Linked DNA regions of Drosophila melanogaster. The protein of the gene in region 3 purifies or fractionates together with the protein of the main gene of each other region. This does not show direct contact. Each region holds a gene or a part of one and is shown on either strand. Other genes may lie near its edges. The genes, in order: c12.1, U4-U6-60K, Leash and CG15445.

Region 1 (4,088 bases), on a different chromosome or scaffold from region 3:
GGATTAGCCGCCTGAAGAAGCAGAAGGAAAAGTAAGTATTTTATACGGAAATGTGAAGGGGTACACCTACCAGCATCTTGACACCCAATGCTAGATTGTGGATGGGAAAGTCGGGCAGTTGGAGCACAGGATCCGCCTGCTGCAGGGTCAAGGCGAAGGTGAGCAACTGCTTCAGCTGCTCGCCGGGCACAGAAGGCGCCTCCTGCTGCAGTTCCTCGTACAGCTCGCCGTACGAATATGTGGTCACGTTGCGGGACTGGAAGCGGGAGCGCAGCGGTGGATCCAGTGGCGTGCCCTTGTACTTGTGGGTGGGCAGACCCAAGGCTACCACCCGGAATTGCTCCGATACGCGTAGCAGACCCCATTCGTCCAGCTGCTCCCGCGAGTGTTTCTAAAACAAATGAGAATGAGGATTAGCAAGCTTCAGAGGACTAGGAACGTGCACACAGGAAACAGCTAACATACCTCTAGAAGTTTATCGTAACGCTCCGGCGACATCAGGAACTTGCCGCTCTCCAGGTGCATCTCGCGATTCTCCAGCAGATTGTTTAGTATGGGCAGGACATTGCGTTCCGCGTGCTCCACTCCATCGAGGACAAGAACTCGGCCATTGAGCGCCGCTCGTACGGCTCCCTGATCGTGGAAGATGGCCGCCCTGTCGTTGATTTCACGTCGCTGCTTCAGATCGCTCTCGGTGGTGTCTCTGCTGAGGGCCACGTACTCCACCTCGCGCTGCGTCAGCTCCAGGAACTGCATGGCCAGCTGGCGGCGCAGCGGACCCGGTTGCCCCAGTAGAAACATGTCCTGACGCAGTGCATCCTTCTGCAGCATCCAGCGCAGGTGGTGCAGTGCTGATTGCGACAGCTGAAGGGTGCCATCCGATGCGTATTTCACTATCGGATTGGATGGATACAAGAACGAAAGGTTCGTGTTAAAACATAAATCATTTGGTCCTCCAAATACAGAGTTTATTAAGTCTCGAGTTCGGATAGCTTGTGCCTCATATAATTTGTCGATTTGGCCAATTATGAAATATAGCATGTAGCTTGTTTTCACATAGGAATTTTCTTGAGATTATAGTGGTCTTTTCTCGATGACCATGAGTTTTACATTCATTCCTTCGCTTTAGATCCGTGGTCTCTTTAATCCTTGATGTGTCTGCTACTCAAAGATGATATAATGACATGATATAATGATAATGATGAAATAATTCTGCGGCACCAAGATCTTTATGTTGACCTTTGCACTGTCCAGAGATCTTGGCTTCCCACTTCCCGGCATCCCCCTGCTCACCGTATTGCTGCGGCACCAGTTGCGGATCCTTGGGCTTGCGCAGCCGCACGCTCACATCGCCGATGGTCAGGCTGTCCTCCTCCGGCTGATCCTTGCCAGCAGTCGTGCTCGCCCAGCTTCGTCGTGGAATTCTTGCATTTCGGAGGCTGTGATGCAACAGGTGGCCGCTGCAGGCGCGCAAATTGGCCAGCATGGCCGTCGGTGGGGGATGGATAGCAGGGGGTTGGCTAAACTAAACTTAAAATCGCTTCAAGTTGCCGAAAAGTTTTGTTTTTCAGCGTTTTTTTGTTTGTCGGATAAAACGGCGGTGCTCCGCGCGTGTTTACCGTAACAATGCTGCCCATTGGTGCGCACAGCTGATGTTCCAGTGATGCCCAGCAATAGCCGCCCTTATCACGGTTAAAGTCCGCACTAAGCGTGTATCGAAAGGCCTATCGGTCAGTGTGACCGTGGTACGGCTCGATTATTGGTACTGTTGATACATCAAACAAAGCACGCAGTTCGGAAATTCATTTCACTTTTCATCAATTTAACAATTAAACGCATAACTAGCTAGTTGAAAATGACCACAGCAGCGCGTCCGACCTTCGATCCAGCCCGCGGAGGATCCGGTCGCGGCGAAAAGGATCTGAGTGCACTGAGCAAGCAGTACTCCAGTCGCGATTTGCCAGGCCACACGAAACTGAAATACAGGTAAGGATTAATAGTAGCCCACATAACAATTTCCTTGTCTAACGAGAACTTGTGTTTGCGCAGGGAGACTGGCCAGGGCACCAGCGATGAGAACCGCAACCGTGACTTCCGCAAGGAGCTGGAGGAGCGCGAACGTGAGGCGCGCTCCGGAACGGGAGCCACTTCGTCGTCGTCGGGCAAGGCACTGCCCTCCATTGTACGCAAGGCGATTGAGGCGAACAACGCCGGCGGTGGCAGCAGTGCCGCAAAGCGTTCCAAGCCGGACGCAGGGCAGCAGCAAGCGCAGCAGGCGGCTCAGCAGCAGGCCGCCAATATGGACGCCGATGAGCCGCTGGACAACGATAGCTCCGATTCGGACAGCGATTCCGATGACGATGATGCCGCCCTGCTGGCCGAGCTGCAGAAGATCAAGCAGGAACGTCTGCAGGAGACGGCGCGTCGCGAGTCGGAAAAGAAGCAGGAGGACGAACGCATACGCATGGAGAACATCCTGTCCGGCAATCCACTGATGAACTATGAGCCCGGCACCGCCGCCTCGGCAGCGGGACGTGCCTCTGGACTGGGCGGTGATCTAAAGATAAAGCGCCGCTGGGACGATGATGTGGTCTTTAAGAATTGCGCCAGATCTGCGCCCGATAAGAAGACGCACTTCGTCAATGACGCCCTGCGCTCCGATTTCCACAAGAAGTTCATGGACAAGTACATTAAGTAGGCAGCATCTGGGACTCGCTCTCAAGTTTCAGCCGCGCTCTTTTTTTGTAATAGTTTAAGTAAAACAATTGTCAACCCTCTTTGTCCTTTCACCCCTCCCCCCACAAGCTGTTCATTAAATTTCGTATTTTGTAAGATAACTCTGATATCCAATAATCATAAACAATCTTTCTAAGCTAAATACCGATTGGTTTCGTACGTAGCAAACTGACCATTTTGTAAGGCATTTGCTTTTTAAGTTTTTCAGTTTTCTTTTGAACAGTGAATGATAAATTTCTTTAAACGAGAAACATATTTTTTAGTATGTATAAGATCTTTCTTATGTAATTAATTTTTGGAATAATTAAATGGAATGCTAGCCAGAATAGTTCCATAGGCGATTGGTTTATTGCTTTGTATACTTTGTGTTTGGTTAAAAATCCAAATAAGAACCTACTCATACACTCATATTATTTAGCAATTCGTATTGAGGTCGACTTTATTTGACGAATAGGCACTTTGGGCCATCTTCCTTCTGCGGGCTGTGACCCAATGACTGGCGGCTGACCGCGAGTGGAAGTCCGAGTGCGAAGGGCAGGAACCTTAACCAAAGTGTGAAACCGCAAAAAACATCGGTAGCCGGTCGAGGGACAACAGCAGCAGCCACCAGAGGCGGCGGGCCAGGATGTCAAGGGGGGTCAGGGTCAGGGAAAAGGGTAAGCGCTGGAAAGAGGGGCGAGAGGGGTAGCTGCTACGTGAGCGCACGAAGAAGTGCCCAAGAAGCGCAGGAAGCCCAATCATCATGGCGATCAGGGCAAGGGCAATTGTCGCTGCTGATGAGGCACGAAGCAAAATCAATTTGCCCCAAGGAGCCGGGCCAAGCAAGCGCAGAATAACTTGGTCAATTACGCCGAGAGCTACACTGCTCGAAATGCAGGTAAAACATTAAAAATTAATTTTACAGCAGCTGCATAATATCCATCAAATTTGATTGAAAAATGCTTAGATGGGCAATGCGCAAGAATACCTGTACAAATTCTAACGCACTCTGTTTATTTCTCATTTAAAAGTTCAAAATCGAAGTGATAATTGTTTCCAGTGCAGCAGAAGCCACTGCGAATGCAAATCATCCGGTGGGTCTTGATTTCCACGCCTCTTTAATGCCCCGCACGCGGCCTGCGCCATCTGATGATCTGAACTCCGACTTTGTCAATGAGCCCACGTTCCGCCTGCGAGTTCGAATCTAAATCCCAACCTGAATCTTCATCCGACTGGATGCCTGCCACCCCCCCTTGGCGCTGGCAGGGATCAGTGAGTGGTCGCGACCCCGCTCCCAAAAGTTGACGAACGCTCAATTTTACGCTAATTCGATCTGAATCAAAATCAAACAAAATTAGCCTGCCCATAGCTGG
Region 2 (5,140 bases), on a different chromosome or scaffold from region 3:
TGAGAAGAGTACATGGTCGAATGTGGTCAGGTTTGGTTGGGTTTCAGTCAATGTTACCAACTTGTAGCTAGCTATACAACACACAAAATATCATATATTAAACGTTTCTCCTGCTCTGAATCCTTATAAATTAGTTATCTTTAACTTGACTGCCGCTGTGTCCTAACCGAATTACAATGAACTGAACTTTAATTGACAACACTGCCGATTCGTTGGGATTTCTATTTTCTGTTTGGGTTTCTGTCTCTACGTGCCAAGTACACTGGACTGGACGGGGACTATATAATTTCAATCGCATTATATCGAGTATATCGTTTCTCTTAAAGTTTTTATTGAGGCTGGGGTCTTGGACTGCGTTCGGTTTACTTTGGGGTAGTAACAAAAATTTGTCATTAGAGGTTGGAACGCAAGATCAAAAATAGAAATCAATTAAATTATTAAAAATGTACAAAGGTAGTTGTATCTTCATATTGGAGCGTCGAAAGTGTGGCTCTAGGTTGCTTTATTGGTTACGCTAAGAATATTCGGTTCCTGTTGTTTTCAGTAGTTCAATTTGTGGTGGCATTATAGTTCATGTGATTAATGCTACGTACGTGCGCTGGGCGGGATTCTAGCCTAGCGGCGGTAGTTGCGCTCACGGGAGTAGGATCGTTTGCGCTGGCCATTTCCGCCGCCACCACCATCCCTGAAGTGGTTAAAGTTCCGCCGTTCGCGTGGCGAGCGTTCCCTGGACCTTGAGCGGCGTCTGTCGTCACGGTGATGGCCACCGCCTCCTCCACCGCCGCCTCTGTCACCAAAGCGTCCTCTGTCGTTGCGTCCATGTCGGTCCCGATCCCGCCTGCCATCGCGTTCCCGTTCGCGATGATCCCTGCCGTGGTTGTCCCTGTCATCTCGCCGTCCTCCACGATCTGGTGCCCTTTCGGCTCGCTCCGGACCATCTGCCGCTTCCTTGGGTCGCTCACTCCCCTTCTCCTCAGGACCGCGTCCGTTGTTGGGGCGTTCGCGGTCCCCATCCCGGTTGCGCTGTCGTTCTCTGGAGCGGGAACGATGTACGCGAGAGCGGCGGTCCAGTTCACGACCACCTACAAAGTAGCGATTGCGTCCGCGTCCCTCGTCCTCGCGGTCCGTCATCTTACCCGTCCGCTTGAGCTCCGCCTTCCGCGGCGCCGCCGTCTTCTCCAGTTCGATCAGCTTTTCTCTGATAGTGAGGAATCCGAGATGTAACTTACCACCAAAGTGGTCCGCCAGACGTATGTCATTGTCGTGAATCCCGAGGTAGGCGGAGCATACCTCGCAGACGCGCAACTTTTGCTGCTGGTAGGTGGATGCGGGCATAGATGTGCGGTACTCGTGCTCGGCCTTGATCTTCTTAGCACGCAGCTCCTCGATCTCCTTCATCAGCTCCATGCTGTCCTCCACTTCGCCGGCCTCGCCCAGGGCCTCGGCCTTGGCCAACTTCTTGCCAATCTCCTCGGCGAGGCCATGGACAGCATTGGCCTTCTCAGCCACCTCGGCGGTCAGCTCTTCCTGGGTCTCTTTCAACCTTTGCTTGGCGGAGTCGGTGCGTCGATCGCAGTCGGCAATAAAGGCCTGCAGGTGTTCCATGGCCTCAATGTCGTAGTAGTAGTCGCGCGTCTTGGCGGCACTTTCGTAATCTGCGCGGAAAGCCAGGTCATGCACTTTGGGACACTCACCGAGATCCATGCGCGTGGACGCCAGGATGTCGTGCGGACAGCAGTCGAGCAGAAAGGACTTGCAGACCCTGGGGTCCGAGAATTTCAGTTGGCGCTCGTCGCCATTCCGTGTGGTACCCATAAGCTGGTCCAGCATTGCTCGCATCTGATCGGTGGCCGACATTTTGTTGCTCGGCGCGCTCATATCCTTCTGGCCAGGAGCGCGTGAAAAATGCTGCAGCGGTGGCAGTGACAGCTATCTCACTGGCTTTGTGACCAATAGCGTGCGACGCGTGTGGAAATTCTCAATTTTCACTCACTTTTAATCACCTAAGAAAATTCTGTGCGTGCGTGCGTGAGGATGTTCTAAAATGGGGTAGTGCTGAAAAACAGTGCTGTGAAGCACGAGTAGGCGATATATCGGTGAAAAGTCACGGTTTCTGGGAGTAACGGCTTTTGTTCAGATCCAAGTATATAGATTATTGTTGATTAAATGATTAAATAAAAAACAAAGGCACATCATTTAATTTCCAAGAACAAATGTAGTTCTCTCTAATAACGGTATATCGCGATCTTAATATAAAATTTTATTAAACACGTGGAATAAAGTTTCAGTTTTAAATAGTTATTGTTTTAAATATAATTTAGAGTTTCAAAAACCGTTCATTTAACAATAAACAACAAACAATATCGATCTAAAAACTATTGCTTATTCGCTGCATACCGCTCTAAACATCGGTGATGGCATCACTAAACCACCCCTCTCGGCGTTGCTCAACACTAGGCAGCAAAACGTTTTCTTTACGGCAATATTTTTTGTTGTTTCTTCGTTGTTTCGGCGAAATTTTATTTTAAAATTAATTATTTTGCACTTGTTTGCTGGCCGCAACGATGTCCGATGACGACGATATACAGTACATTAAGCGGCAGCGAACGCTGCACTATGGATCGCTCGAGGAATCGGAACGCAAGCGGCAAAATGCCGCGGCGTCTGGGGCAGCAGCAACAACAACATCGGGAACGACGGCATCGTCTGGGGCAGGAACAACAACAACTGGAACAGGCGGGCAACTGGAAGACATCGATTCCGATGAGGATTACGAGGAGTCCACGAAAAAGACAAGCAACGCCAAGCAGGCCGGAGCACCACCACCCACAGCCGCTACTCTGGCCAACAAAATTGACGATGACTACTTCGATCTAGAGATGGAAATGGAGCGCGACAAGGTGGCGCTCCTTGAGGAATTTGAGCGGAAAAAGCGAGCACGACAGATAAATGTGTCCACAGACGACACGGAGATCAAGAGCAATCTGCGCCAGCTAAACGAACCCATTTGCTATTTTGGAGAAGGACCGGCGGAGCGAAGAAGACGTCTTAAGGAACTCTTGGCTGGATTGGGCGAGAACGCCATCAACAAGAGGCAGTATGAGGATGAGGAGCGCAAGCAGCAACAGCGGGAGCAGGATCAGGCCACCTGGTACCACGAGGGACCCGATAGTTTGCGTATCGCTCGACTCTGGCTGGCGGATTATTCCCTGCCGCGCGCCAAGGATCGCTTGGTACGAGCACGTGAGGCCCTTGAAGTGCCCAGCGCAGCACGTGCCGGCCGAATGGTGGAGATGCAGAAGAAGCTCCAGTCGCTGGCTCCACTGTGCTCCCAGGTGGGTGACACACGGCCCGTGAGTAGTGCTGCCTTCAGTGAAGACTCCTCACTCCTTCTGACCTCCTCATGGTCGGGTCTCTGCAAGCTGTGGAGCGTGCCCGATTGCGAGCTGAAGCAGACGCTGCGTGGACATGCCAGCTATGTGGGCGGAGTGGCTCTGCGGCCGGGAGTTAAGGCAGACGAGGAGAACGTGGTGGCCATGGCTTCCGGTGGCCACGATGGCGCCGTCAAGCTGTGGGGCTTCAACAACGAAGAGTCGATTGCCGACATCACCGGCCACATGCCGCATCGCGTCTCTAAGGTAGCCTTCCATCCTTCCGGCCGCTTCTTGGCCACCGCCTGCTACGACTCTAGCTGGCGGCTGTGGGATCTGGAGCAAAAGACAGAGGTGCTTCACCAGGAAGGGCACGCAAAGCCGGTTCACTGCCTTAGCTATCATTCCGACGGCAGTGTCCTGGTCACCGGCGGTCTGGATGCCTTTGGACGAGTGTGGGATCTGCGCACTGGGCGGTGCATCATGTTTCTGGAGGGACACTTGGGCGCCGTTTTCGGCGTGGACTTTTCTCCAAACGGATTCCACATAGCAACAGGGTCCCAGGACAACACATGTAAAATCTGGGACCTGAGGCGACGCCAGCCGGTCTATACCATTCCTGCGCACACCAATCTGATTTCGGACGTGAAGTACCAGCAGGAGTGCGGCAGCTTCCTGGTCACCTGCTCCTACGACTCGACCACCAAGATCTGGTCCAACAAGACGTGGCAGCCGTTGAAGACGCTGCAGGGCCACGACAACAAGGTCATATCGGTGGACATCGCGCCCAACTCGCAGTATATAGCCACGACCTCATTTGACCGCACATTTAAGCTGTGGTCGCCGGATAGCTGATTTTGATACCATTACTTTATTGTACTCACCTGTGGGCGTACGCAGACAATCTCCACTTGCGATCTGCCCGCTGGGCACGACTTACTCATCAACTGTTTTTGTTATTTCAGAGACAATAGCCCAAAACATTTCAAGTTTTCGTTTTGTATAACACAATTTGTTGTTTTTGTTAGGCGAAAGGCAGATGCAGCGATGTTGCATTTCGTAAATTTAAGACTTTTTTATTGAAATTGTTAATAAAAAATACATTTTTGGTAGAGAATTGAATTTTAAACGGGTTTAAAATTGGGAAAGGATTTACTGGCCCAACAACTAATCAGCCTACAACTTGTTTCTAATTTATAAGTAAGGATAACTAGCAACTTTTCCTCTTCATTTTTTAATTATCCTTGAGCAGCCCATCCTCATATTTAAACATCTGTTTTTATTACTTGTATATAGTTTTCCATTTAATTTCTTTTCGTATATATTTGTTGTATGACAAACTTAGACAATTAATTTGAATTTTAACTAAAATTTAACTACCACAGATAGGTTGCAATTACATACATACATGTAAGTGTATGTCTAATATATTAATTATAGATTACATACATCGCGATATAACTGTTACATATAGTTTACACATAAGGATTCATAAATTTTCTTGCACTTTGCACAATTGTCGATCAGTTTGTAGTATTAGCTCGTCGATTAACTACGCTCATGCATGACGTTAGATAATGTCTAGAATTTCATTTCATTGTTTCGCGTTGAGATTTACAAGGATTCAAATCGCAATCCATGGGCTTCATGTAGAATATGGTGCTGGGATTTGGAGCAGGATCGGGAGCGGGAGCTGGACGAGCGCGTTCTAATGTGGATTTGAATGAGGTCTCCCGACGCTCGAAGATGCCACTTAACTAAATACATAA
Region 3 (5,475 bases):
TCCAAGCGTTGGAGGGGTTCCTAAGGGAAGTGCGCTTCATAAGGTTATTCAGTTTGGAAGAACAACCAAGACTACATACCTTATACTCGAGCCGCCTATTAAGATCATGTGGCAGGATCACCGTGAAGCACTGCTTAAATGTGTTGTTGTAGCGAACCGCGCGATCGATGGTTAGGGTAACCTCGTGCTTAATCTGACCATGAGCACCATTGAATGAGGTGGGTGCATTGGGCGGAATGGTAGCCCGGAAGGGAAAGACGTACTTGCCGGTGGGCAACTCCAGCTGCGAGCCACCGGCCTGGCCGTAAACCGGCTGGTCAGTGCTGTAGTAGACCTCGGTGGTGGTGTGGGTCACCAGGGACTTGGTCGTCTTCCCATCCTCTCCCACTCGCTCCTCGCTTTCCTGCCAACGCGTCTCGCCGTATCCATTTATGGTTATAAAGATCGCTGCAATTGGATTAATTTGTCTGTACTGCCGGGTATGTAATTCAATTATGCATTTAGTTTAATTGCCATTGACCTTGGACCTTTTGTGTGTTTCGGATGTAGAATTGTATTGGAAAATTGCTCAGCTACAAACAACTGTCTTTGTTAATGAACTAACAATAATTTAATCAGAAGCATAAAAAAAACGAATGCTACCTAATAAAGTTCACCATCAAATTAAAGCGCTGCTAAGGCTCGACTATTTGATACCCTAGGAAATATTTGATTATTTGAATTTGAACCGATGGCTAGGGTCCACTTAGCTTGCTAATGGGATTTGTATAAATTTATATATATATGTATATCTGCATGAATTACGCCTAATTGACCCAAAATGCTACCTATACACTACAATTTAAAGGTATTGGCACGAACGGGCTGACCAGTAACTGAATCAAATATCTAATAATACAAACAGCGTACGCAATTTCAAAACAAAACTAGTTTTTACGCCGCTATCAGATATCCGCCAGCCAGCCAAGCGGCCACATGTGTGTTGTATATAAACTTTATGTATACATACATATATGTACATTTGTATATACAATACACATCTTTCAAGCATATCTACCGGCAACAATAACATTAAACCAGCGGATAACAAAGCACCAACAATATTAAGTGGATATTTATTTATTAGTGGATGGTAAAACGGTATGGGATTCAGAATTTGAATGGTGATGGAGGGGGATGACGTCATGGTTTCGAGTCCATTAGAATACATATGTATGTAGTGCGTCTTCTTCCGCATGTCGGTGTCACTTACATCGAATCGTCTTGGGGCGCTCCGTAATCAGTTCCGCCGTGCCGGAGATAAGCTGACCGGCTTGATAGAGCCCCAAAGGATTGCTGTCGAAGACGAAGTTCACCTTGCTGCTCATCCTGTCCAGAATTGGCTCCTTGGCGACGGTGTCGGGTGGTATCGCGCTATCAAGTTCCTTTGTTTGTTTTATTGATAGTTGGTGGAAGAGGTAGGGATTCGATGTATTCGAGGGTTCCGGCGACTCAGCTCGCAAGCTCCGAACGCGAGCAGCTCTGGCTTAATACTGAATTCTCAAAAGTCTTTGGTGAGACCGAAGAACCGAGAAGCAAACTTTTGTGCGCGAGAGGTTACAAGAAGAAGAAGCGAAGGACAGAACGGGGAAGCACACGAAATACTATATGGAGCATTATGCTGCTAAGCCAACTAAAGTTTAATCTTAATAAAATATGTATGTATGCTTCAATCATCGCTGACATCTAAGCTGAGCGTTTTGTTATCTATACAGTAAAATATTTGGTAATTATTATTCGTAGTGAAATATATCAACTTAAATTATTGGCGATATTCAAACAGAGAGTTTCTTCTTCTCTTTTCAAACATCAAACCATAAAAAAAGACCATTACTACCAAGCATTTCTGAACTCTTGCATTACAACTGAAAACAGTGCATTTAAGAAACGCTGTTTAGAACTTAAACTTTAAATTAGACACATTTGAAAATACCGATTAAAAAGTCTGCGAATTAACCGCTTCAGCTGGCCAGGCGCCCGGTGGCAGCACCGCGCAACAGCTGTTCGTGCTATCGGACCGCCGCTCTCACGGTTATCGAAAGAGAGCTGCAGCTACAACAAAAAAGCGTAACTCACGGATCTCGTAAATTTATAAGAAATTTAATTATTCAACCCGCCAGCGGACGACAGCAATCGAATTAAATTAGCCCGGGGTGTGCGACCAACACTTGTGGGCCATTGCGAATTGATGGATATCGAGATTCCCCAAGAACTGGCCACAATCAGCGCGAAAAAGCTCCCACTCACCGCGCGGTGTGTGTAGTAACATCAAATCGTAAATCGTGAGGCGAGTGCGTGTGGTGGTGCTACTATTCTGCATATACTTTAGGGTGGTGCGGGCCGTGGTGCTGCAGTGCATCCATGTACGTTTGTATGTGGCGGCATTTTGATGACGAAATTATTTTTGGATAAGTGCGTGAGGAAAGTGGCCAAACCGGAGGAGTCATCACCATCAACGCCAGCGGAATGGAAAGCGAGCGGCTGCGAATCACGCTGGACAGCGCGGATCGGGTTTACTTTGCGGGCGACATAATTCGCGGCGAGATCTGGATGAACGTCAACAAGCGCACCAAAATACGCGGTAAGTGCCAGTCGAGCATAACTTGCCGCTTCCTGGAATGCACATCTCAAAGCTCGGCTTGCATCATCCATGACTCAGCTGTAGACACGCAGAGAAAGTGTTTCAAAACCCTACATTTAACGTTAGGCTCTTAGTTTATGATTCTGGGTATTGTTTACATGTGTACATATAGATCGTATTACCGAAAAGATTTAGCTTAGATATAGTAATCTAATATTAACAAAGATGGTTTTCTGCACAACCCATCATGTACTCCACAAATAGAAATGTGCTTTTTTCTGTTTTGTCAGCGGTTTGCAATCCATTGTCCGCCCGATGGTCAGCTGGACTTTCGTTGCGGCCCCATTCGCATAAACAAAGAACTCCATCAGTTAACAAAGCACAGCGGCCATTTTATGGGGCTTCCTCCCCCTCCGCTTCACCGCAATTTCGAGATTCTTGCTCGCAAATTCCTCTAATTGCCTTCGGCGCTCGCCTTTCATTCATCGATAAGCTTTCAATTGCCGCCCGTTGCAATTGCAATTGAATTTCTTTTCGTTCTTCACGATTCTTGAGTACTGGCATTTGTTTCAGGAAATGCCAACCCAAACGCATCGCGCGAGAGGGGAGTGTAGACGGTGGGGGCATGTGCGAAGAGAGGCACACTCAGTTGGCGTGCCGAAAAAGCCGTAATATTGGGCCAAGCGCAAGTCGGGTCTAAATGAGAGAGAGGTGAGAGGGCGCTCGCAGCACAGTGGTGGCCACAAAGGGGTTTATATAGGTTTTTTTTTTTAATTATCCAGAAATAAGATTCCCAGTAATGGTATATTCCGAAGTATAGTGTTTAAAAGGCAAACAGCTATCTCCATTTTATTATGAAGTATACCTTTAAAACAATAAGTGGTTTATTGAATTTTTTATAAATGACTTAAAGAATTTTAAATCTGACATAATTGGGCGCCCTTGACTGTACAAGCGCCTCTCTGTTGTGATTTGCCACTATACAGGTGTGCGTGAGAACAGCAGCTGGTCCGTGCATGTGTGAGTAAGAGAGCGCGAGACTAAACGGGAGCGCCACACTATCCCATATTTTTTAGAAATTAATGCGCTACGCGATAAAATGAAGGGCATTTGGGTGTCATGAGGTGAAGCTAAAAGTGTTGGCTTCACGCATGGGGCCAAGGGTTTGTGGACATTGCCTAAAAATAGATCGACGGCTGTCCGTTAACTGCCCAAAAGTCAAAGTCGGCTGTTATCAGCGCATATATATATATATTTATATATATAAAAAACGCGATTTATTATCAGAGCACAGAATACGAGTACAAAAATATGTTTATACAAAAAAGGGGGGAGCTGCAAGACATGCTCATGAGGGGAATGATATCTGTGGAAGAAGGAATACATGACAGCTGCTACTGTGTAAGGCTTCGCAATTACATTAATTATACGCCTGTTCCTCTTAACCGGCCCACAAACATACATATTTCATACGTATTCATTTATATATATCTAAATATATTATGCACTTAATTGAACACAGCAGTTTATCGTTAGTTTGTGCACATTGGATGTAATTTCGGGGTTGCTCCATTACGCATTTATGCGGTCGTTGAGGAAAAGCTCCATCATCGGCCAGATCTCCTTTGTCTGTTTTCCCTTGAAAGTGGCAACCAGACCCTTCTTTTCGTACCAGGCTATTACCGGGCTCATCACCTCATCGTAGAGCTCCAGTCGCTTGGCCACCACATGGGGTTTATCATCTTCGCGTTGCATCAGCGGCTCCCCCGTCACATCATCTTTGCCAGGCACTTTGGGATTCTTGAAGCCAATATTGTACACCCTGCCGGAGGGCGCATGGATCCAGCGATTCTTGACCCGGTCGATAATCACACTATGTGGAACGTCCAGCGTGATCACGGCATCGATTTGCTCGCGTGCAGCCAGTGCCTCGGCCTGGGCTATATTGCGCGGGAATCCGTCTAGGATGTACGACCTGTTGCCTACCTCGGTTATCCGGGCCAGCATCGTCTTGGTCACAATCGCGTCGGGCACCAGTTTACCTTCAGCAATGTACTGCTTGGCCTTTTTTCCAAGTTCTGTGTTTTTTATGATGTTCTGGCGCAGAATGTCCCCCGTGGAGATGTGCACACATCCATGGTTCTTGCAGATCAATTCCGAAATAGTTCCTTTGCCCGAGCCGGGGGCTCCGATTATCACAGCGCGAAAGATTTTCGTAAACATGTCTAAGCTCTAGTTCTTCAACCTCTCCTTGAGCTGCAAGACAAAAAATTGAATTGATACATGGTTAAATTTAATATGATATGATAAAAAAATTCGGTTTATCTATTTAATATAGGATCTGTTTTTATATTTTGATTTAGGGTCAATAACATATAATCTTGGCAGTAAAACCAAAATTATTTCAGTTGACCATACTCGACTACTTTTATGGGCGATAAGACTATCAAGCACGCCACAATTGTTTGATACAGAGGTGATGAAGGTCATAGTTTTCGCTAAAGCTTATGTGTTTTATGTGTGACTAATCACGGGAATCCAACCAATGATTCCATTCAATTTGTGAGCGAACACGGCAATAAAGAGTGGGTAAATATAACACTAAATCACTTGTCAGCTTTTGTGCTCGTGAACCAACATGCCGCTTGGTAACAAGTGTAGCGCAAACACTTAAAAGAGCGCCACCAGCAAAAACAACAAACAGAAGAGACAAGCGTGGCTTTTCAGCCTTATGTTCTTTGTCTTCATGTATAACCAGATATTGTTGTCGCCCCGCTTATCGTCCAAAGTCCGCACGGAAAATTATAGAGAATATATGTAGACATGTATATATGTACGTGTTTAGTGTTAATGTC
Region 4 (6,493 bases), on a different chromosome or scaffold from region 3:
TCCACCTCGGGACGAGCTTCCACGCAGGCAGAGGGCTCCGTTTGACAGCCGGTGTCTTGCAGAGAGACAGGGACCGGTTGTTCCACCTCCTGCTTAGGCACGGACCTCCTGATCTCCACCAGCGTTCGCATAAGAGCCATCAGCAAGCACTGCGTTTGTCCAGCCAGATCCTCCTCGTAGTGGGCCTCCGCCAGCTTTCCAAATTCCGAATCCGCTAGAGCTTCTTTTTCTCCCAGTATGGCGGCCACGACCTTCTGCAGTTCCTCCGTCTGGAATCGGAACTCCGGCCGACTCCGGAAGTCCGGCAGGTTGCTGCGATGCGGCGTCTCGCTGCAGAAGACCGACAGTGTGAAGTGGCAGTTCTGGGAGTGCAGAAACTCCGCCACCAGAGTGTGCAGCACCATCGCCAGTGGCGAGACGAGCAGTGCGTGGGACTGAGCCATCTGCACACCAGCAGCCTTGCTCAAGAGCTGGCCTGGAACGGGTACATTTATGGTTAGATCGATTAATAAATTAAAAAGGGGGTTTTCAATAAACTTTGAGATGCCAAATAGTAAAATATCTTTCATTAGTTTGATTAGCAAACCCACCGAGTGCCGTATTATTGAAGCAGTGAATGAGCTCCACCCGCAGGTGAGAGTGCATCTCCCGGGCAATCCCCTCCTGGTCCAGCCACTGGCGGAACTTCACCTCGAACTCCTGCTCCGACATCGCGGCCAGTTCCTCGAGCTGTTGCCTCAGCCGTTCCGCCCTGGCATCGGAGTCATCCTGCTCCTCAATCTGATCCTGAGGAATAGGTACGTGCTTTCTGGTAGGCCTTCCTGTGCGGTATCCGTGTGCTCCAACCTCCGGGGGCAATGATGATCCCCGCGTTACTGAACACAAAATGGGATTATCAGTGAATATGAATCGCTATTAAGTTCGTAAAGGTTTATTGTACTGAATATTTTAATTTGAAAAGATTATTTTTCGAACAAATTTGTGTACGTCGGAGTATAAAGATTGCTGGTTTCTTAGAGTTATAATAATAATAATAAAAATAGTTATAATAATAATATTAATAATAAAAATAATTATTATAATAATAATAATAATAGTTATAATAATAATAATACTTATAATAATAATAATAAAAATATTAATATTATTATAAAAATAATAGGCCCACCTCTAGTTATATTTGATGGTCCGCACGGTCCTGGTCTGCCCAGTCCGGTTGCTTGGAGTCGCTCCCTGGACTGCGTCATTCTCCGCCTGGCGGGATCGCCGTCGGTGCTGATCCTTCGATTATGCTGGCGCACCCGCTGTGTCGCCGACGCCGCTGTGGCCCGCTCCTGCTTAATCTGCTCCTCCCGCTCCCGCTTTGCGGCCTCGTGCTTCCGCTCCCGCTCGCAAGGCATGCCGATGCCGCCCACATCCCGCTGCTTCGCCCTGAACGATAACGTTGTCGTGCTCGCCGGCACGTGGCGAACCTTCATGCCGTCCTGAAGGAACTCGAGGCTCGGATGGGATCGAGAGTTGGTCTGCGTATGCTCGGATAGAACCTCTGACCGCCGCTTACATGCGCCGCGTTTGAGTAACTGAACTTTCCAGGTAAAACGAGCACGAGCGCAAGACACTCACCACCAACAGCGAAATGTGACAGGTGCGACGGAGCCTGCCCTGCCACCTGGGAACTGAGTGAAATTGGGGAGGAGGTCAACTCGATCGTCGGGGGTTGGTCCTCCTAAAGGCGTCAGCTGTGTTGCCTATGTGAAGCGTGCTCTAAAAATTAAGTGAAATATATGACAACTGAGTTCTATGAAATGGTATTCTAAGCAAAAGCTTATTTATCATAAGTAATTGCTCACTAATACTTATAACGGCGGCAGTATTTACTGCCGAGCCCATATTAAAACAGCAATACTTCTTGTGGAAGCGTGTATTTGGTGTATTTTTCACAATAATAATATTTTGAATTTTAATTCAAAACAGTTCCGCTTTAAAGTTGGCAGTTGACTATCGATAGATAATTGTCCGCAAAACAGCTGATTGCTAAGTAGTAAGTGCATCAGCCGTACTGACGGTGAAACTGAAATATGAGTTTCTTGCGTTAAATGGTATAGAAATAATATAATATAAATCAACAAGCACAGCTGTGTTTGCCAATGCGTTTTTATAAAAAACCAAATTTGAAGACTTTGACTATTAACGGGCAGAACGTTCATGTCAGTCAGCTTTTGCAAGCGTTTCGCTGTGGCTGACAGATGGCCGAGTGCTGCAAGAGCCGATAGCTATCGAGTTGCAGTTGTTGTGTCAAACGACAAAAAAGACCCAATTGCGGTGATTCCACCAGGCAGAGCTTATCCCATACGAAGACGCAGCACAGTTCACATTAAATAAATTTCCGTAAATAGTTCTTATTTGTCACCCGCCCAAAATTAAAGTCTACTCCACTGCACCCAACCCCGCGATTATCAACGACTGCGCATCGTTCTTTGTTGTTTCGTGTAGAAACACATGTGCAAGGAAGAAGAAGAACCAGAACATCACATCACTCGTAAATAGTAAATATCTAGAGCATGCCCGATCCTTTGTGACGCGTCAGTTTCAGCCAGTTCGCCACAATTTTTGCCAAGTCATCGTCGAAAATGTCACAAAACGACAACCTACTCATCCAGATCCGCGCCCTTCTCCAGTCCGATGGCGAGAAGCTGTGGGAGGAGCCCTACTACTCCGAAGATCTTGGTAGCATCGAGGGAGCACTAGAAGTACGTACTATATGCCCACCACCCCACACCTAAATGCCTTCCAGTCAGTGGTCGGGGAAATGACAAGAATGCCTGAAATACGGTTGGCAATATAGAAATATTATATTCAAAATGCATATATTATATATATATATATATATATATATTATATATTTATTTGTTAGTTCTTTTCACATTTGAAGAAGTAAGAAGCTAGTTTCGACAAGCCGTAACTTATATACACCTTCAGCTAAGTTCATATTATTAACACTTATTTTAGTTTGATTAGTTTGATCATATGATATTATTGTCCAATTAAAAATACTTAAAAAAAAAACAACATGACATTGCACAAACGAATCTTTTAAATTCCTATTATACTTTAATAATTCTGAATTACAAGAGTAACGACAAAGATATTATTTAGTTTCCTTATATAGGTTTTTGATCTGTTTCGCTTCGACTTATTTATAACGCCTAGAATAAAAATAAGATTTTAAACCGATAGATTTGTTGGCGTGTGAAAATGTGATTGCTTTCTTGAATTATTATTTATTTTTCAATAAATAGAGGTTGAGGGATTTTAAAAATAAAGTAAGACCAATAGTAGTCAAAAGAATAGCACATTACCAGCATTCATACTCAGGAACTCAGTAGCTTTGGATTAATATAATATATAATATTTTATTCTATAATAAGATGTGTATCCATTTCATTAAAGAACCTGGCGCAGAAGTACTCCGGCATGTTGGGCATCGATATAGGTCGCTGCAAGTTCTTTTTGACCGAGCTGCAGGAAAATGCTCTCCGTACGCTGGCCGCCCGACGTGAGTTCAGCACCACAGGAATTGCCACGTTGAAGGTTCGCCGCGTTGGCGAGCACAGCGGTGCCACAATGGTGGAAGTGAAGTGCAGCTTGGACATCGTGGGCTCCGAACTCCAGGCATGCATAGCGAAGAAACTGGAAGTGCCGAATGCTGCGCACGTCAAGTGCATCGCTGCCGGCAAAGTGGTGTCCGCCAATGCCACTTTGGCCGACCAGCAGTTGAAGAACAACCAGCAGTTGATTGTCATTGTGGGCGATGGGGATAATTCTGGCGAAGCCCTGTACGAAAGGATCAATCGCATCAAGGCCGATGTGGAGGCGGTGGTGTCCTCGAAGAATAACCTAATAGAGGTGAGTAAATCGGAAGGAAAGTTGCTTAGGTTGTTGTTTAGAAGGTTTTTTAAATCACACCACTTGTTTGTATTTTCGTGTCATGCCCAGATGGAGGATCAGAATGGCAGCCAAGTGTATTTGCCGCCTTCCGAGCATAAAGCCCTGCTCATGGGTTTGGGATTCTGTGAGAAGGCCCGTGCGGCCATGAATCGCAAGCATTTTGAGGAGGCTCTGCTCCTGCTTTTGGAGGCCGACGAGCATTTTTCTACCTGTGGCTCAAAGTTTCTAGAGTCCGTGGATAACTATGCTTTGCTGAACCTCGACATAGTGTGGTGCTATTTTTGCCTGAAGAACGTTACCCAGCTCCCGGATGCTGAGCATCGCTTGGCCCGCTGCAGTCGCAATTTCGGCATCAGCTATGGCGACAATTTGGAGAGGCTGTACTCCTTGAAGGGCAAGGACTGTCCCGAGAGGGCTTTAATTATGCGGCTTAAGTTGCTCCAGGGCGTGATCTTCTTCCACCAGAATCTTCGCAATCAGGCATTTGAGTGCTTCGAAGCGGCTAAAACTCTGCTAAATGAACTAAAGATCAACAACGACCAACTGGCTCTCCTGGTCGATATGGGCTTCGAGCCCTCCGAGGCTCGTATGGCCCTGCGCTCCTGCAAGGGCGGCACCGCCGTCGAACAGGCTGTTCAGTTTATTCACGAGCGTCGTCAGCAGCTCAAGAATGCACGCATGAAATATAAAGCGTCCGAGCGTGCTATGGAGCGCCGCCTGAAGCGCTCCAATTCCAAAGATTGCACCTGGGTGAATCCCCGCAGTGTCTGCAGCCTTGCTGACATGGGATTCGAGAGCGGACTGGCCACTATCGCCTTGCAGCGCTCTAATAATGATATCCTCCAAGCGGTAAGTGTGGCCAAGAATATATTCAATGACATGAATTGATCAGTATGTTTTAACTATAATCTCATGGATGTCACGTGTTTGTAAACTATAAAATAATAGAAATATTTTTTTCTTAGGTGGAACTGCTGCAGACAGAATCGGACGAACTTACTGGTGCTTCGCCATGGTTTCCGGTCACCGTAGACACGACCAAACTGGCTCAGCTTCTGCAACTGGGATTCAACGAGAACGACTCGCGCGTGGCCCTACAGAATGCATCAAATAACATGGAAGAGGCCATCGAGAGTCTGATGTGCGCCATAGAGAGCGAGGAGGAGCTGAAAGCGATTTTAAAGCACGTTGGGCGTTTGGCCGAAAATGGTGGGCAAAATCTTGACGGCCCCTCTACTTCGAACGCCTCCGGGCAGACGCAAGTTGCTTTGCCAGCGCCCATTATCGAAGCTGTTATCAATCATGCTCGCGTCGAGATTGAAACGTACAAGGCCTACGAGCGCTTTAACTCCGACCTCAAACTGAGCGACCTGGAATACCTGGACTTGCCACTTATCCAGGAGGAGAAGATCCTGACTGAGTATTTCAATATGCTGCAGCAGTAGCTTGTATTTGACTTGCCTTTTTTATATCTATACAAAAAAATATAGAAACCCGAAACCGGTTGTCAAGATAACTGTAATCATGACTTGTCTATATTGCAAATCGTAGTCTTATAATGGCACTTAAGTGGCATTCAGCTCCCCTCCCGGCTGCTGTTTGTCCAACTAGGCAAATAGTAAAATATAGAGATTTATAAGTACATGCCTTCTATTGACAACTGCAAAATGTGATTGCGCCGAGCCAGCGGGAGAATTCACCTTTTGGAGCCACCTGAAACTTGTTAGCGCCTCTGGTCATTGCTTATTTTTTTTTTATCGTTTGTTTTTTTTTTTGTCGCTTGACTCTCGACCCCGGCTCGGACGGCGGCGCTTGATTGGGTTCAGTCGTGACCTTGTCGAGGCCAAAGGGCGCCGCTCACTAAGCTCATCCCGTCGACGAATTGAGCGGAACTTACACGATTTGCTGTAAGTATTTGCTTTGCTTAGCAAAGAATTTATTTATTTATTCAAGTAGCACCAAGACTAAATATTATAAGTCAACTAATTGGTTTTCTATATGTATGTACATACATATGTGTAAAATAGTAATTTTCTATTTATACACGTTACTCGCAGAGTGAATAGTATGTAAAATGTTGTCTTGTACAAATTGGCACGGTGCCATAGGATTAAAGTATCCTGCGGCAAATGTGTTGCAAACATGTGTTTTTACATCCTTGTTGGGCGAAATGAAAAATTTAGCAACTGGATTTTTTTTTCCGTAAAAGTATTTGCTCTCATGAAATTAGGTGTGATAGGAAAATGAATTTGGTAGTTATCATACTCTTCAAATATCTGAAAATGTCCTATATCGTACAGTCTGTGGCTATACTTGTGTTTATTTTATAGTGCTAAGCTAAGACACGTGATATATACATAAAAATATAATTTGAAGAAACAAAACTTTATATCTGAAAAAATTATATTAAAGCAAGAATCCAAATCGAAGTAGAATGGTTAAATTGCCAATAGATAGTTCACGATTCTCGATTGGCAATCAGTCATTCACCTATTGGAAAGAGCCAGCACCACTTGGAACCCCCATTTACCCCCAACAACCCTTC

What was found.
Region 1: the proteins of Leash (region 3) and c12.1 purify together in Drosophila melanogaster (affinity purification with mass spectrometry, with the first as the bait; one large-scale study listed by BioGRID). This does not show direct contact.
Region 2: the proteins of Leash (region 3) and U4-U6-60K purify together in Drosophila melanogaster (affinity purification with mass spectrometry, with the first as the bait; one large-scale study listed by BioGRID). This does not show direct contact.
Region 4: the proteins of Leash (region 3) and CG15445 purify together in Drosophila melanogaster (affinity purification with mass spectrometry, with the first as the bait; one large-scale study listed by BioGRID). This does not show direct contact.

The regions. Positions count from the first base shown.
Region 1 is NC_004354.4:9,316,890-9,320,977, reverse strand, and holds c12.1 (c12.1), read left to right. Parts: upstream 1-1,754; 5' UTR 1,755-1,855; coding exon 1,856-1,986; intron 1,987-2,049; coding exon 2,050-2,698; 3' UTR 2,699-3,063; downstream 3,064-4,088. Other genes in the region: c12.2, read right to left, coding at 1-11, 71-391, 466-893, 1,111-1,161, 1,294-1,486. UniProt on the Drosophila melanogaster protein: Involved in pre-mRNA splicing.
Region 2 is NT_037436.4:17,511,206-17,516,345, reverse strand, and holds U4-U6-60K (U4-U6 small nuclear riboprotein factor 60K), read left to right. Parts: upstream 1-2,433; 5' UTR 2,434-2,564; coding exon 2,565-4,226; 3' UTR 4,227-4,491; downstream 4,492-5,140. Other genes in the region: CG7564 (uncharacterized protein), read right to left, coding at 616-1,878.
Region 3 is NT_033777.3:10,883,468-10,888,942, forward strand, and holds the start of Leash (leash), read left to right. Parts: upstream 1-2,072; 5' UTR 2,073-2,505; coding exon 2,506-2,620; intron 2,621-3,877; exon of another isoform or gene 3,878-4,192; coding exon of another isoform or gene 4,193-4,843; exon of another isoform or gene 4,844-4,876; intron 4,877-5,475. Other genes in the region: CG14696 (uncharacterized protein), read right to left, coding at 1-20, 80-447, 1,253-1,367; Ak3 (adenylate kinase 3), read right to left, coding at 4,193-4,843.
Region 4 is NC_004354.4:21,114,866-21,121,358, forward strand, and holds CG15445 (uncharacterized protein), read left to right. Parts: upstream 1-2,295; 5' UTR 2,296-2,539; exon of another isoform or gene 2,540-2,597; 5' UTR 2,598-2,630; coding exon 2,631-2,750; intron 2,751-3,450; coding exon 3,451-3,906; intron 3,907-3,996; coding exon 3,997-4,797; exon of another isoform or gene 4,798-4,882; intron 4,883-4,913; coding exon 4,914-5,393; 3' UTR 5,394-5,579; downstream 5,580-6,493. Other genes in the region: unc (uncoordinated), read right to left, coding at 1-475, 591-875, 1,169-1,478.